3 linked regions of the Kluyveromyces lactis genome follow. The protein of the gene in region 1 purifies or fractionates together with the protein of each later gene. This does not show direct contact. Links are inferred from orthologs where the notes say so. Each region holds a gene or a part of one and is shown in the gene's direction. Other genes may lie near its edges.

What was found.
Region 2: the proteins of ISW1 (region 1) and RSC58 purify together in Saccharomyces cerevisiae (affinity purification with mass spectrometry, with the first as the bait; 3 studies listed by BioGRID). This does not show direct contact. The link is inferred for Kluyveromyces lactis from reciprocal best matches to the Saccharomyces cerevisiae genes ISW1 and RSC58.
Region 3: the proteins of ISW1 (region 1) and KLLA0_B02090g purify together in Saccharomyces cerevisiae (affinity purification with mass spectrometry, with the first as the bait; 3 studies listed by BioGRID). This does not show direct contact. The link is inferred for Kluyveromyces lactis from reciprocal best matches to the Saccharomyces cerevisiae genes ISW1 and ITC1.

The regions. Positions count from the first base shown.
Region 1 is NC_006042.1:642,722-649,795, forward strand, and holds ISW1 (chromatin-remodeling ATPase ISW1), read left to right. Parts: upstream 1-2,928; coding exon 2,929-6,219; downstream 6,220-7,074. Other genes in the region: ribosome biogenesis GTPase LSG1, read right to left, coding at 1-1,156; RRT2 (diphthamide synthase), read left to right, coding at 1,319-2,578; glutathione peroxidase GPX2, read right to left, coding at 6,548-7,033. UniProt on the Saccharomyces cerevisiae protein: Catalytic component of ISW1-type complexes, which act by remodeling the chromatin by catalyzing an ATP-dependent alteration in the structure of nucleosomal DNA. They are involved in coordinating transcriptional repression, activation and elongation phases.
Region 2 is NC_006042.1:1,593,537-1,597,764, reverse strand, and holds RSC58 (Rsc58p), read left to right. Parts: upstream 1-2,000; coding exon 2,001-2,056; intron 2,057-2,275; coding exon 2,276-3,728; downstream 3,729-4,228. Other genes in the region: ATP-dependent RNA helicase ECM16, read left to right, coding at 1-1,684; putative divalent metal ion transporter SMF3, read right to left, coding at 4,057-4,228. UniProt on the Saccharomyces cerevisiae protein: Component of the chromatin structure-remodeling complex (RSC), which is involved in transcription regulation and nucleosome positioning. RSC is responsible for the transfer of a histone octamer from a nucleosome core particle to naked DNA.
Region 3 is NC_006038.1:181,766-186,517, forward strand, and holds the start of KLLA0_B02090g (uncharacterized protein), read left to right. Parts: upstream 1-1,952; coding exon 1,953-4,752. Other genes in the region: GTPase BMS1, read right to left, coding at 1-1,231. UniProt on the Saccharomyces cerevisiae protein: Functions as a component of the ISW2 complex, which acts in remodeling the chromatin by catalyzing an ATP-dependent alteration in the structure of nucleosomal DNA.

The DNA.
Region 1 (7,074 bases):
TAGTTTGGAAATGTTTGGTCTTACCAGGGGTAGAAGAGACAGAAACTTTCTTGGCACCCACCAAGGCATTTATAGTGGAAGACTTACCAACGTTTGGATAACCCACTAGACCTATTTGTATGATTGGCTCTTGACCGGGCAATGGAGGAAGTAGCGGATCGTTTGGCGCTTTATCTAAGAACAATTCTTCAAGTTGATCGATCTTCAGTATGTTAATTTTATCCAGAATTTCTTTGTTCACTTCTTCCCCATCAAGTTCTTCAATTTCTTCCTCTGTAGCCAGTATTTCCTCATCGTCCTCTTCTTCAACGTATTCATCCCCTAGTTCCTCTTGTCTCTCTAATATTTCATTAGCCTTGGCAGCAGAAAAGAATGTAAAAGAGATGCCCCTCGAGAGAAGGTACTTGGCCCAAATAATACGTTGCTTTCTTGTTAATAAATCCGCTTTGTTGATCAAAAGTAAATTCTGTTTCCTGTCATCCACTTCTTTCACATATTTCTCTAAATCTGTGGATCTGAATAATAATGGATCTCTGGCATCCACGATTTGGACTACTAGATCACATCGCTCAACAACTCTCCACAACTGCCTCCAAACTTCAATGTTTCTCTCGAATGGAGTCAATAACAAATCCTCGTTGTCTTCTTGCAAATAGGCTAATTTACGTCTCCATTCCAAGAATGCTTCCTTTTCTAACCTTTCTAATTCAAATCTGGTCATAGATTCATTCCACTTAGGCCTTCTTGGGACAATCAACTCTCTAGCATGTAATCTCTGCTTCTCGTTGATCTTACTTTTCTGCTCATTGGTCAAACTAAATCCCTGGGATGTGGCTGCATCGGCACCGTTATCCATTCTGATGATCTTGACATTAGAATGTCTGTCCGCTGTGAAATCCTTGTCTGCTAACTCAGCAGTACTCAAAAATTCATCTAATGCAGATTCCTGAGTAACAGATCTCAATTTTACCCAATTAGCTTCGTGCTTATCGGTAGTGAAACGTTCTTCACCATCTGGCAAATACTGCACTTCATTTTCCTTACGTCTTGCAGTTTGAATTGCCTTACCTAACCCAATAGTGTTTTTATTCTTCCTTTGAATAGGCTTTGGACCCTTTGGAGGTTTCCACTTCTTTGTTGTTTCCTTTGGTGGCATGCTGCTAGTCCGTGTTGCTTGTAGACCTGCCGTTAACTGCTAAGATTGTTGTGCTGATGCTTTGCTTATGATGAGATGAGCTGGTTAACATATTAAAATTTTCCGCTAGTACGTAAAGTGTAAAAAAGAAATTGTGTGGTAAACCTGAACTAGAACAGATGGATGGCTCAACAATCTTTACAAAAGCACCCGCATGATGAGGATGCAGAGTACGACTCCAACATAGGTATTGCATACCACCTTAGAGGAGCGACAAAATTAGAAGTCAAGAGTTTCTGCAGAATGGAAGAAACTGCAGCTGATAAAAGGGTTACCACGCGTCTTCCTCCATGTTGCTTGTGTATTTTAAGAGAGAAATTTATCATTGTGGGTACCTATCTCTTGCATAAGGACTCAGGCAATCGAACTGGCTCTATTGAGGTTTATGATAAAGAATTGAACCTTCTTTCTAGCATAAAAACCTATGGGGCAATTTTAGATTTGAAGCTCAATCCATTCGATGATACTTTACTCGCAACAGCTCATTCAACCGGTAATATGATTCTGTGGACGATATCTGTCGACGATGATAATTCATCAATTGATATCAAACTATTGAACAACCTTCAAGTATTTGATCCCACATGTCTAATAACGTCTCTCCAGTTTTCTCCATTGCTGGATAATCTCGTACTTTTAACCACTACTAATGGGGATTTTGCTACTGTTGATATCATACATGGTGAAATATGCTTTATAGAGGAGGTGGAGCCATCGTATTTCGACTCCTCAACAATAAATTATATTGAGGTGCCAAATGCAGACATCAAAGTTATAAATGTTCAGAATGACCATGAACAAATCTTTCATTTCAAACATTCTTTGGAGTGCTGGACCGGCGAGTTCGGCTGTTTGGCTCCTTTGAAAGATGTTGTATTCACTGGTGGTGACGACTCTGCAATTGCAGCTCATGATTTGAATTCAGGCAAAAAGATCTGGTCCAATTCAAAAATTCATCAAGCTGGTGTTACGGCAATTAAGGCTGCTAGGGAGACATTTAGAGGCAACAAGCCAACAAGTTTAATCACAGGCTCTTATGATGACCATATACGATCCTTTGATCTAAGAATGCTCTCAGAAACCACAATATATCCAGGGACAGACGTCCCTGTGGTTAATAAATGGGAAGACAATTTACAGGGTGGTGTTTGGAGATTCTCGGAGGCCCCAACGAATGACGGACTGTCAAATAACAGACTTATGGTTTGTTGCATGTATAATGGTGCGAAGGTTGTCAACGTCCAAAACGATCATTTCGTGACCGAGCAGTTTATAAAAGAAGGGCATGAATCAATGTGTTACGGTGGTGATTGGAGTAAAGAAACAGTTGCAACTTGTTCTTTTTATGACAAGTCCCTACAACTTTGGAAAAGTCCAAATTAATACACATATAGTTTTAAAAGGAACGAAAAAAGCAGACGGAATTGAGACATAATTGATGTGTTCTCACTTCGCTGTTTCGATGAGCTTCAGTATGTATTCTTTTTTAAATATAGGACCATTTGTTTCATCTTATTAACGCACGTGACTTCAAGTATCTTCATCCTGCAACACCAAAACACGAAAGTTTTGGAAAAACTGGGTAAGTAATCCTTTGATCTAAAATTTAATTACTTCAGTTAATATAAAGAAAAAGACTTCAAAGATTGGTATTTTGATGAAGTAGTAGGAGCTTCATAATTTCTGATATCTGAAGCAGCAAATTTGTTTCACTGGTTCTCACGTCATTAAAGATGGATTCACCTGAGTATTTGGAGAAATTAAAACCCTTTCAAGAGGGAATTCCCAACAGCATTGCTGAGAAGAAAGAAAGATACTTGCTACCACTGCGTGATTTGGCATCAGGGAAGCGCAAATTTGATGAACAGGGAACAGTAAAGAGATTCGAACATTTGCTTGGGTTATCTACTTTATTCAGACATTTCATTGAAAGGAAAGCTGCCAAGGATCCTAGATTTAGAGAGGTATTGGACACTATTGATAATGTCAACGGCAAAGCAAATGGTAAGGGAAAGAAACATACAGATGCCCGCAGACGTAAGACTGAAAAGGAAGAGGATGCTGAACTTATGAAAGATGAAGAAGAAGAGGAAGAGGAGCTTGCTGATGTCGATTTCCAATTCAGAGAAAGTCCAGCTTATGTTAACGGACAGTTAAGACCATACCAAATCCAAGGTTTGAACTGGCTAGTAGCGTTGCACAAAAATCAACTAGCTGGTATTCTAGCAGATGAAATGGGGTTGGGTAAAACGTTACAAACCATTGCATTTTTGGGTTATCTAAGATATATTGAAAAGAAGAATGGCCCCTTCCTTGTGATAGCTCCTAAATCGACTTTAAACAACTGGCTCAGGGAAATTAATAGATGGACTCCAGAGGTAAGCGCCTTCATTCTTCAAGGTGATAAAGAGGAAAGATCTAAGCTATGTCACGATAAGCTTTTAGCATGCGATTTCGATATCTGTGTTGCATCCTATGAGATTATCATTAGAGAAAAAGCCTCCTTTAAAAAAATTGACTGGGAGTATGTTGTTATTGATGAAGCTCATAGAATTAAGAATGAAGAATCCATGCTATCCCAGGTTCTTAGAGAATTTTCCTCTCGTAACAGGTTACTTATCACTGGTACTCCGCTACAAAATAATCTTCATGAGCTTTGGGCTTTATTGAATTTCTTATTGCCTGATATTTTTGCTGACTCGGCAACCTTTGATGAATGGTTCTCTAGCGAATCATCTGAAGAGGATAAAGAAAAAGTGGTCAAACAATTGCACACTGTGCTCAGTCCCTTTTTGCTACGTCGTATCAAGAACGACGTCGAAGGTTCATTACTACCTAAAAAGGAATTGAACGTCTATGTTGGTATGTCTTCAATGCAAAAAAAGTGGTATAAACAGATTCTCGAAAAAGATATAGATGCAGTTAATGGTTCAAACGGTCAAAAGGAATCAAAAACCCGTTTGTTGAATATTGTCATGCAATTGAGAAAATGTTGCAATCATCCATACTTATTCGATGGTGCAGAACCAGGTCCTCCATACACTACTGACGAGCATTTAGTATACAATTCAGCCAAATTGAAAGTGTTGGATAAATTACTAAAAAAATTCAAGGAACAAGGCAGTCGTGTCCTAATTTTCTCTCAGATGTCTCGTGTGCTCGATATCTTGGAGGATTACTGCTATTTCCGTGAGTACGAGTACTGTAGAATCGATGGTTCTACTGCACACGAAGATAGAATCAACGCTATTGATGACTATAATGCACCAGATTCTAAGAAGTTCATATTTCTTCTAACTACTCGTGCTGGTGGGTTGGGTATCAACTTAACTACTGCAGATATTGTTGTTTTATACGATTCTGACTGGAATCCTCAAGCAGATTTGCAAGCAATGGATCGTGCGCACAGAATTGGCCAAAAAAAGCAAGTGCGGGTATTCAGATTTGTCACTGACAATAGTGTGGAAGAGAAGATTTTGGAAAGAGCTACACAGAAACTAAAATTGGATCAGTTAGTCATCCAACAAGGGCGAGTCACTAACAAGAAGAAGGAGAATAAAAATGACTCCAAAGAGGGATTACTTTCTATGATTCAGCATGGTGCTGTTGATGTCTTCAAGAGCAATGACAGTAGTGCCATGACCAGTCAAACTGGAACACCACATCCAGATGATGGGAAGGACAAGGATGAAGATGTGGATTTGGATGCCTTGCTAGCACAATCTGAAGATAAGACCAGGAGTTTGAACGCCAAGTATGCAACTTTGGGTTTGGATGAACTTCAACGATTCAACCAAGATTCTGCATATGAATGGGATGGTCAAAATTTTAAAAAGAAGGTTGAAAAGGATATCATTAACCCACTATTTATCCCACCTACGAAACGTGAACGTTCAACGAATGCTAACTATTCTGTTGATAATTATTACAAAGACGTGTTAAACCCTGGACGTAACAATCAATATACGGTTCCACCAAAGATGCCAAAATTACAACCTCTAAATAGCCACCAATTATTAAGACCACAATTAAAGGCTATTTACGAAAAGGAAAGAATGTGGATTGCAAAGAAAAACAATTATGTTCCCAACCTTGATGACGTTGTAACAACTTATGGTGACGTGAAAGATGAAGCAGAAAAGAAAGATAAACTAGAACTTCTAAAGCTATCGATTGCCAATGCAGAACCATTGACAGAAGAGGAAACTAATAATAAAATTGAATGGGAGAAAGAAGGCTTCCATAACTGGAATAAGTTGGATTTCCGTAAGTTCATTACTGCATCAGGTAAACATGGTCGTAATTCTATTCAAGCCATTGCTGCTGAATTCGGTGGTAGCAAGACAGAAGAAGAAGTGAGGGCTTATGCTAAAGCATTCTGGGCCAATCTTGAAAGAGTGGAAGACTATGAAAGATACGTGAAGAATATTGAGACGGAAGAAGAAAGAGTGAGACGAGTAAAGATGAATCAAGAAGCTCTACGTAGAAAGATCAGCCAATGCGCAAACCCACTATTTGAACTCAAGTTGAAGTTCCCACCATCTACAAACAATAAGAGAACGTTTTCCGAAGAGGAAGATAGATTTATCTTGTTGATGTTATTCAAATACGGACTTGATAGAGAGAACGTATACGAAATGATTAGGGATGAAATCAAGCACCATCCTTTGTTCGAACTTGACTTCTTTTTCCAAAGTAGAACGCCAATTGAATTACAGAGAAGAACCATCACTTTGCTCCAATGTCTAGAGAAGGAATTTAATACCGGAATTCAGAAAACAGATGAATTAAATGATCGACTAAAGAAAGAAGATGAAGAAGGTGAGAGGTTGCGGGAGAAGTTGAAAGAGGAGAACAAAGCCAGAAGGCAAGAGGAGGAAGAACAAGAAGAAGAAGAAGAAGAAAAAGAAGAAGAAGTTAATGGCACTGCAACTCAAAGAAAAGACGAAGCAACTGAAGTTGACACCGAAGTCAATGGAAACAGCCTTAATGAACCTGAACAGAAAAAGGTAAAGACAGAATAAATATCATAAACCCTTCTGAATAGAGAGAATCCATTGTATAATACTGAAATAATATAAAATTTGTTGAAAACGAAAACAGTTCCTTAGTTTTTATGCAATTTTTGATTCATTTTATCACTCTTATTATTATTATTATCATTATTTTATTATCATAGTTATTATTATTATCAGTTGGTTATATTTACTTTGAACACAGTAAATTAATTAGATATAGAATAGAATCCAACAGTTCAATGAAAAGATTTTAACAACTTCCGGAAGAGGATAGTGCAATACATTTTATAAATAGAGCAAGAATGGTAGAGTGGAGTCTGTGTTTTAATCAAATTTATTCATTCAACAATTTTTCAATAGGTTCTTCTAACGAAGATGGCTTAGTCAAAGAACTGTACCTTTCAACAACGGTACCCTTCTTGTCAACAAGGAATTTTTCAAAGTTCCATTTGATACCCTTGAAACCCAACAATCCGGATTTTTCGTTCTTCAAGAAGTCGTAGACTGGGTCAGCTTCAGAACCGTTCACATCAACCTTCTTCAAGATTGGGAAAGAAACACCGTAGTTTAGTTGACAGAACTGAGAAATCTCTTCATCAGTACCTGGCTCTTGATGTCCAAACTGGTTACATGGGAAACCCAACACAATGAACCCTTTATCCTCGTACTTCTTGTACAAAGCTTCTAGTTCCTTATATTGAGGAGTGAACCCGCACTTGGAAGCAACGTTGACAATTAAAACAACTTTACCTTCTAGCTGAGTGAATGGGAATGGTTCGCCCTTTTTGTCCTTTGGTGCTAATTCGTAAAACTTAGACATCTTGGTAATTGCTGCTGTTCTTTTAATATATGAAAATATTT
Region 2 (4,228 bases), about 950 kb from region 1:
TGAGGAAGATATTGAGGACAAAGAAGAGGACGAAGAAGAAGGTTTTGAAGAAACACTTGAAGAAGGTCAGACGGATAGAGATCCACTATATGTTCTTCCTCTTTACTCGCTATTGCCCACCAAAGAGCAAATGAAGGTCTTCCTTGATCCCCCACCAAACTCCAGATTATGTGTTGTTGCTACTAATGTGGCAGAAACATCATTGACCATACCGGGAGTAAGATACGTCGTTGATTGTGGTAGATCAAAGGAAAGAAAGTTTGATGAAAATAATGGTGTTCAGAGTTTCGAAATTGACTGGATTAGCAAAGCTTCTGCTGGCCAAAGAAGTGGTAGAGCAGGGCGTACAGGGCCTGGTCATTGTTATCGTTTATACTCCTCTGCAGTTTTCGAAAGAGATTTTGAGCAGTTTTCTAAGCCTGAAATTTTAAGAATGCCTGTGGAGAGTATAGTTTTGCAAATGAAGAGCATGGCTGTTCATAATATTGTGAATTTTCCATTCCCTACCCCACCCGAAAGACCAGCTTTGATGAAGTCAATAAAGCTCTTACAACACCTAGGTGCACTCGACAGTAATGAAAGAATCACTGATGATGGTAAAGCAATGAGTTTGTTTCCGCTAAGTCCAAGATTTTCTAAAATGCTGCTTGTTGGTAATGAAAGCGACTGTTTGAAATATGTTGTTACCATTGTCAGTGCCCTTTCAGTAGGTGAGCCGTTTTTATCTGAACAAGAGCTTGGTATCATGGATACTGTGCCCAAGACACAAGATGAAGGACAATTAGATGACTATCCTGATCACGAAGCTGAGGAAAGAAAAAGGCTATTGCGCTCCAAGTATGTTAAAAGCAAAATTAGATTTAGTAAGCTTGATAAATTCAGTGATGTTTTCCGTCTTTTAAGTGCAGTATCTGCGTTGGATTTCATTCCAAAGGATCAGCACAGTTCTTTCATGGAAAAAAATTTCTTAAGGGCAAAAACCGTAGAGGAGATTATGAAGTTGAGAAAGCAGGTGATGTTCATCATCAGGTCAGTTACTTCGAGAGAAAATGTAGCTGTAAATGTTAAAGACGAAGACTTGAAGAGCTCGATCCCCACCGATGTTCAAATCAAATTACTCAAGCAAATGATCACAGCAGGATTTATCGACCAGGTGGCCGTTCGCGCAGACCAGTTATTCCCGGAAGACGTTACTATCAACAAAACCAACATTTTCAATATCCCTTATGTTCCAGTCCTTGCTGAGAAAACATCTTCTTTGGATGATATCTTTGTTTATATTCATCCAACCTCAATTCTCAACAATTCTGGCGAGCAACCTCCGAAATACTTGGTTTTCCAATCACTACATGTCAATAAAAATAATGAAAAGGCGAAAACAAGGATGAAGTCTCTTTGTGACATTAAAAGCACGCCATTGGCTAACGTTGCAAGAAAGGGCTCGTTACTCACTTACGGAAAACCAATCACTGGACAAGGTTTGAAACCTATTGATTTATCGCCAACAGAAAGATTCTGCTATGTTGTTCCTAGATTTGGATCTTGCAATGATAGCGACATCAAGATTGGTTGGGAACTCAATCCTATCCCTGTTCATCAAGAGAAAGAGAAAGGTGTATGGACGGTCAAGAAATTCCTTACTCCAAAAGCATTTAAAAACTATCAAGCTTCGAAAAGACCCTAGAACTACACCAGTACAATTTATAGAATTAATTAACTCATATAATACCAATTGCATTGGAATAATTAAAGGCCAATACCTAGCTTGTTAGGCTATGACTGGGTACTGTTGCTGTGACAGGAATCTCTGTAAAAGCTGTCAATGGATGCCAGTTGGATCATGATGTACGGTTTTGATGTTTTTCATAATGAAAACACAGGTTTTGGCGCAGGTTGATCAATAAAGGCTTCTTACATTACTGCTGAATGACAAACTGATGGGCAGTGAGAGAGTACAAGGTCTGCAAACTCTTTTATAGTGGGCTAAAAATAAGTAAACAATGGTAGAGCTGCTAAAAGAGAATTTTTTTCAGAACTTACTAACTGTTTTAAAAGGGTATGTGAATATAAAAACAACACATTTTTCATTCGAATTATGTTGCATTCGCACATGTTTTTGTCTAGAATCGGTGATAATAATAAATTAAAGACCAGCATACGATGACCTGGGGTTCCTCAAGTCTTTATTTTATGTTTTCAGTGTTAGATTTGCCAAAGCATGATTTTATTTTACAATCAAATACTAACAGTATTAATTTTATTTTGATTTAATTAGTGCATCTTCGAAATGCAGAGCTTTAGATGAAAGGTTTCCTAAAGAATTCTACGAGCCTGATCCAACACACATATACGATTCTTACGTGAAGTTTCTAAGGGCCAAGTTTGATGAAAATCCAGATATCAAAATAGCAGAAGATATTGATTCAATTTCCATATCTGATAAATTTGCTAGTGGAGATTACCAGAAGCATGAAGATTCTGTTTATCGGATTTACCATGATATTAAATTAGTATGCTCCATTTTAATTCACTACTACTCTCAAGGAACGAGGTCGTACCAAATGGTCGACAAATTCTACAAATTTGCAGCAGAATTGATTCTAAGGGAATGTTATAGAGTTGGAGCCAAACTGGTGGGAGACTTCGCGGCAGACATTGACTTCAAAGAAAGTGATTTTTCAAAAACCATTTCCAATGATTTCCTTAAAATTAGTCAAGTTTATCAGCTCCCCGTTACTGAAACTTACCATACGCAGACAAAGGAGGGACATTTGTTCAGTTCGGTGATAACGAGGTCAGTACTTGATCAGAGGCCAAAGGAAGTACCATACGAGGAATGTGAAATTGTGAAAATTATTCCTCAAGCAACATCCCAACCAGCCAATAGATTGGGATTCGTAGCAGCTAACACTTCCAATGTTCCTGATCCAACAATTTCTCCTACAGAAATCATGACCTCCTTTCTGCATCCGAATTGGTACCCGCTACCCACTACTAAATGGTTGGAGTATGGCGACTATCAATCTTTTGCTCCGAGTATCTCGGAGTTCAAGTCTGTAACAGATTGTTCCCGTAAAGGAGACATATGGTTGGAAAAGGTCGGATACAAAAGCTGGTTAGAAATAGAATCGAAGAAGAGAGGGGCTGCGGAAGCAGAAGATAAAAATGTTGAAGATGAAAAAATAAAGGATGAGGGTATTGAAGATCAAAAGGTTGAGGAAGCAAATGACAGTATCGGATCTGACAACCAAAAAAAGGAATCAAATGAAAATGATGAAGAGCAGAATGTTGCCACGGATGAAGAGCAAGATACAAATGAGGAGGGAGATGAAGTAATAGTGACAACGGAGCCAGCTGGACCTGTCAATATTAATTTGAAAAATCTTTATGACTGGCAACCTAGCCATGAGATACATGATGAAGATATAACGGCTTTTGAGCAAGGTGAACAGCAAAGGTTATTGACAGAGATATTGCTAAAGCTAAAGGCATGTAAATCGAGAAGGGTCAAGCTGAACAAGATATCAAAACCAACAAGTGAGGAAGTTTCCCTTTATCATAGAGCACAGAACATCTTGAAAGAAGCTCTACTTTCTAAACAGATTGTGACATCTCCAAAATTGCACGAGAAACATTTCCCAGTCCTTCAGACTAATTATGCCGGATCAGTTCCTGTCGTCAAGACCATATCGACTAGAAAAAAGAAAAGTAAGAAAGTTATGCAGTGAAGTAGATATTTCCGTATAGAATCTATAAATCGCAGCTGTGGTAGTGTGCAATAATCTGTGGGGCTAGTTTATTATCAGTGATAGCTAACGGTTACTATTATTTGGAGTTATTTTCTGAAACCATCAGTGTTTCGATTTTTTTACTTCCTCAATTACTTTCGAAGGTAAATGTCCAAGAACAATTAAAGATTATATAAAGAACAAAGAAATTAACCACAACAAAGGTACAAGAGAAGAGATCAACAAAGCAGATCCAATAAGTACAATTTACGAATTGATTATAGATTAAACAGAATCCATCAAAACTATATAAAATGCCTACTTAGACTTAAAAATGCACGTCCGCTCCCATGAGGTATGAAAATACAAGATAACAATTCAATGAACCAATTGTCAACCATATAACAAATGAACTGATGCTCAACAGTCTTCCATTGGTGTAGTCAATGGACTTAACGCCTTTCGATAATAATCTACTTTCTTCAGTACTGTCTGCAGAT
Region 3 (4,752 bases), on another chromosome or scaffold:
GCAATCCAACATTCTCGAATTTTTCATCAATGGAACGAGATGTAGCCTGTAGGTTGGACACGATCTTGTCACTTTCATCTTTTTCCTCTGCAGTCATTGAGTTTGGACCTGTCTTACCGCCAACATCAATGAACACGGCATCCTTATCCATAAGTAAACCACCAACGTCAGACATTGGAGCATAGATCAGCTTTTGTTTATCATCCAATCTTTTACGTCTTCTTACAGTCGTTGCTGATGTGGAACCTTCTTCCTTAGCACGTTCACGTTCAAATTCATCTAATTTCTGTTGGTAATAAGGTGTCGGACAAGGATCAGGCAATTTCTCAACGTGATCGATCTGGTAGTCACCTACACCGGCGATATGGACCCTGTAGCCTGGAGTCGAAGGTAACGGAGTACCGTGTAAATAACCATAGATGGCGACTTTACGATCTATATGCATACCCTTCGATTGTAAGAGTTCTGGATGAGTTAAATCGGATATTCTATCGGCCAATAAATAAGGATGTTCGTTTCTCCATTGCAAAGGTCTGAACTTCATAACACTTATAAACCTTGACAAGTTCAAAATCTCTCTATCTGGATAACGACCGTTAATAACACCAGAAAGGTAGAAAAGCTTGGCACCCTGATACACTTCGGTCCAGAACCTATGTTTCAAAGATTTCTTAGAGGCACGCAATGTTGACTGGGATTTGAAAAGATCCAAATGTGTAGCGACACCTAGTACACGAGGCATACCATGATGTTGAGCCAAATTCAAGAATTCCATGGTCTCCATTTCAAACCCGAAATTACCATCCATCATCAAAAGCACCAAATCGGCCACTTTTGAAATATCGATCATGGAATTCAAATCATCCGCAGGACATTCGATAAAAGTCAGCCTTCTACGCTTACCAGAAACAACAGTAATAGGACCGTTAATTTCGGATAAAGTGGTCTTTGTCAACCTTCTCACTAACGATTTGATCAAAGTAGTCTTACCGGTACCTGGAGGACCAACAACAGCAATAATGATCGGAGGAGGATCATCATCTGGGGTACGATCCACCATCGGAACATGCAACTTCTTCTCATTCTTATCACCCGTACGTTGCATCTGCTTAGCCATTTTCCCCGGAGCGGAGACAGCAAAGGCCTTAGCATTGTGGCCCTGAGAATGTAACTTCTTCTTGGCACCAGCCTTCTCCTTCCGCTTCCTATGTTCTTTATTCGATTGTTCCATTGCTGAAGCTTGAGAGTCTTAAGATGTATTCAGGCAATGTGATTCGAACTAACTGGCCTAAAGTGACCCTTTTGATTCAATTCAAGATACTAGAATCTTTTATGTTCACCGATGAGATGAGATGAGATGGTTGAGCTTCTTCATGCAATTTTTCATGCAGGGTAAGAAAAAGAAATGATCTGAACCTTGTCGATATCTAATCACGTGATTCTGCACGTGATCTGATTTTTAAGAATTTAAGGTATTCTGTCAGTTTTGTAGATATTCCTACATGTCTCTGCCGTAGTAACTAGGGCCCAAGGGCATATGGAAAAAAAAGCGTTCATCGAAATTCGAACATCAAAATGAAATCGAAATCCAATCAAATGCACAAACAGAACAGGATAGAACAAAGGTCAATGAATCAACGGTTGGATTCCGAATAAAAGTCGTTTGTTTCATTCGTTTCCCTAAAAGTTGTTGTGTTTTTTATCTTTAGTTCGTTTGTGTGGTGATTTGGATTTCACAACAAGAACTGTACGTTCTACACCAGTTATATTGTTGTGGATACGAGACAACATCTTTTGGTCATAGAAAACACATACTGTTCTTATTCTTTCCAATCTGTGTGCGTGTAATTTTTACTGAGTTGAAGCAGGAAAGCTAGGATAACAGAGTCTTCAGTGGTGTGTGTTTCCTTGTTGAGCTTTTTATTTTTTGGATAGAATACACAGTGTGAGCAATGGTTTTGTATAAAAGGAAAACGATAACGTTGCCAGATGCTAGGCCATTACCGTCAAATATCAATAGGAAAATATGGTACATTCAAGAGACAGGGGAATGGTTTTTGACTTATGCAGAGTTTTTGCAACGATTGGATTTTTATAGGCGACATTATTTCACCTGTGAGATCACTGGTACATCATGTTTAACTTTTTTTGAAGCGTTGAACAGTGAAGAAGAGCAGTTCCAATACGTTGAGAAAATGTTCCCTTTAAAATTACGTGAACCTGTTGCAAAATTCATCCATTTCAACGAGATTAGAAGGCTAGATATGCTCGTCGAACAGGTATATGCAAGATTTAAAAACGACTATTTCCCTGGAGAAACGGTATACCTACGGAAAAGTAAGCAAGATTCCTCACATGACGATGCTGAAAAACATCATCAGCACTCACATGGATCACAGCATCAAAAAATTTACATTATCAAAGAAAAGGCTCAGTTTAATGCAGTTATAGATAGAGATACAAGGCAAGAATTGGTTCCTGCCCATGCAAAATATATGTTACAGGAAGCACAAGGTAGTACTTCAATCGTTGCCGATGAGGATCAGATTTATCGTGATAGATCATGTTTCACTAAGCATTTGATTAAATGTTTCTGTAAGATAACGTTGCGTCGTGCTTCAACTAAGATGGGTGCCCCATGGTGTGTGAAAGATGAATATTTGCCCATCTATAATTTAACCTTAACGTGGCCAGAAAGTATGCTAAAATACAAGGAAGATTACGTAGATCCGCAGTATTTGCAACAACTTCAACACATGGCGGAACTTAATCGAGAAAGAGAAGCTTCGGCAGCCATTGGTGAGCATAAACGAGAAATTGAAATTGCTAGAACAGAAACACCAGATCAGAAAAGAATAAAAACTGAAGAACTGATATCTGAATCCTCACCTTCGGTTGACCATACCAGTAACGACAATAATCAAATAACCAATGGCGATCAACAAAGCATAACGCAAATCACTGAAGATTTGGAAATACCTTTCATGGCACCAAGGCCTTCAGCTATCAACGATGCACTTTTAAAATACTCTAAGGAGTATGTGCCAATCTCAAATTCTCTCGATAAACCATTTGCGCATGATATTGGTAAACTCCTTCATTGTTATCAGTTTTTAATGGCATTTAATGCGACCCTTCAACTTTCGGAATTTAGTTGGGATGATTTTGTAAATTCTTTGAGATTTACTGATCCGCGCCAAATGATGGACGAGTACGTAACGATTAGTTATGAGGACGGTACGGGTACTAAGGTGGAAAGAATTAATATCTGGAATGAATCGATATATAAATATATTGACTCTTCAAATTCAGAAAAAATGAAGTTCACCTTGTCCTTGGACACTATGATAAATGATGACTATTTGGACGAGTTGAAAATAACAGGTACTTCCTTGATAGTGGAGTGTTTTTGTTCACTGTTAAGGTTGTTCATAGACACCAGTGGGGATTGGACGACATTAGTCCCTTCGGAGTGGCTTGAGGAGGACACGGACGAAAATTCGAGTGAAAATGAAGATTTAGAGATGGAAGAAAACGACGAAGTTAGTGCTGATCTTGAATCGTTATTAGAGAAGTGTTTAAACTATCGAAAAGTAAAATGGACAGACAGGCTTTCTAAGAGGCAATTTAACAATGGTTTCTGGTTGATAGTTCTCTTAGGTGTTCTCCAAGACTTCATGCATTTACCAATGTATAAATCGACAATTCAAGGCTTCATCAAAAATCTGGTGCCGTCTGAGCACACCCCGTCAAATATTTCCTTGAATAGGTACTTATGGAGAAAGTTTTGCAAAGATATTTCTGTTGAGGAGAAAGTTAACATTATGTGGATATTAGTTGAAATATTGAGCAACTACTCATCAATAATAAGATCTGCAATGGATGATTCAATGGAACTTTGTAACCAAATTAGAAGTGAGAGGTTTAGATTGAATAGGGATCTTAAAGCATGTTCTAATACTGTTGCTGGACTAAAAGAACAATTTACAGTTTCTGAGTTGCAACAATCTGAGAGCAGTAATGATAATATCGAACTGAAAGAAAACCTAAAAAAAGCAACAGATCAACTGGAACGGTTCCAAAGGAGGAAAAGCTTTTTTGATGCTAGGTTGATTGAAGCTGATCTTCAAAGACTAAAACCCTTGGGATATGATAGATATGGTAACAAAATCTACTGGTTAGAATATTGCGGAGTTCCTAGGCCGAACATATTCTCGAAGGCTTCACACTTATTAAGCAATAGATTGTGGATCCAAGGACCTGTCAAAGAAGCTGTGCTATACTACTTCAAGATAACGGAAGAAGAGTACAATCAATGGATTTCTTTAGCTAACGAATTGGGTAAAATTCAAGCCACCAAACAGGTTTTCCATGTTTATCGCGATGAGAAAGGTTGTTATTTCCACTACGATAAAGAGGGAGATATCATGTTGATAAATGAAGAAGGTGTTTTCAATACGTTCATTGAACTTTCGCCACTTCAAAGAAAAATTATTGATGAGACACCGGAAGGTCTTTTGTTTACTCCTAATGACTGGATATTCTTGCAAGATCCTGAACAACTCATTTCGATGACTAATTGGTGGGACAGCTGGGGAAAACGAGAACATGAAACACTGAAACAGTTGCAATCAGTTATGGAGCCGGTGATAGAGACATTAAATCAATATAAGACTCAAGTTCAAGACGAAGTTACTGAAAAAAGAGAATTGTTACTGAAAGAGATTGCGGCTTTGGAAATAGCGGATAACG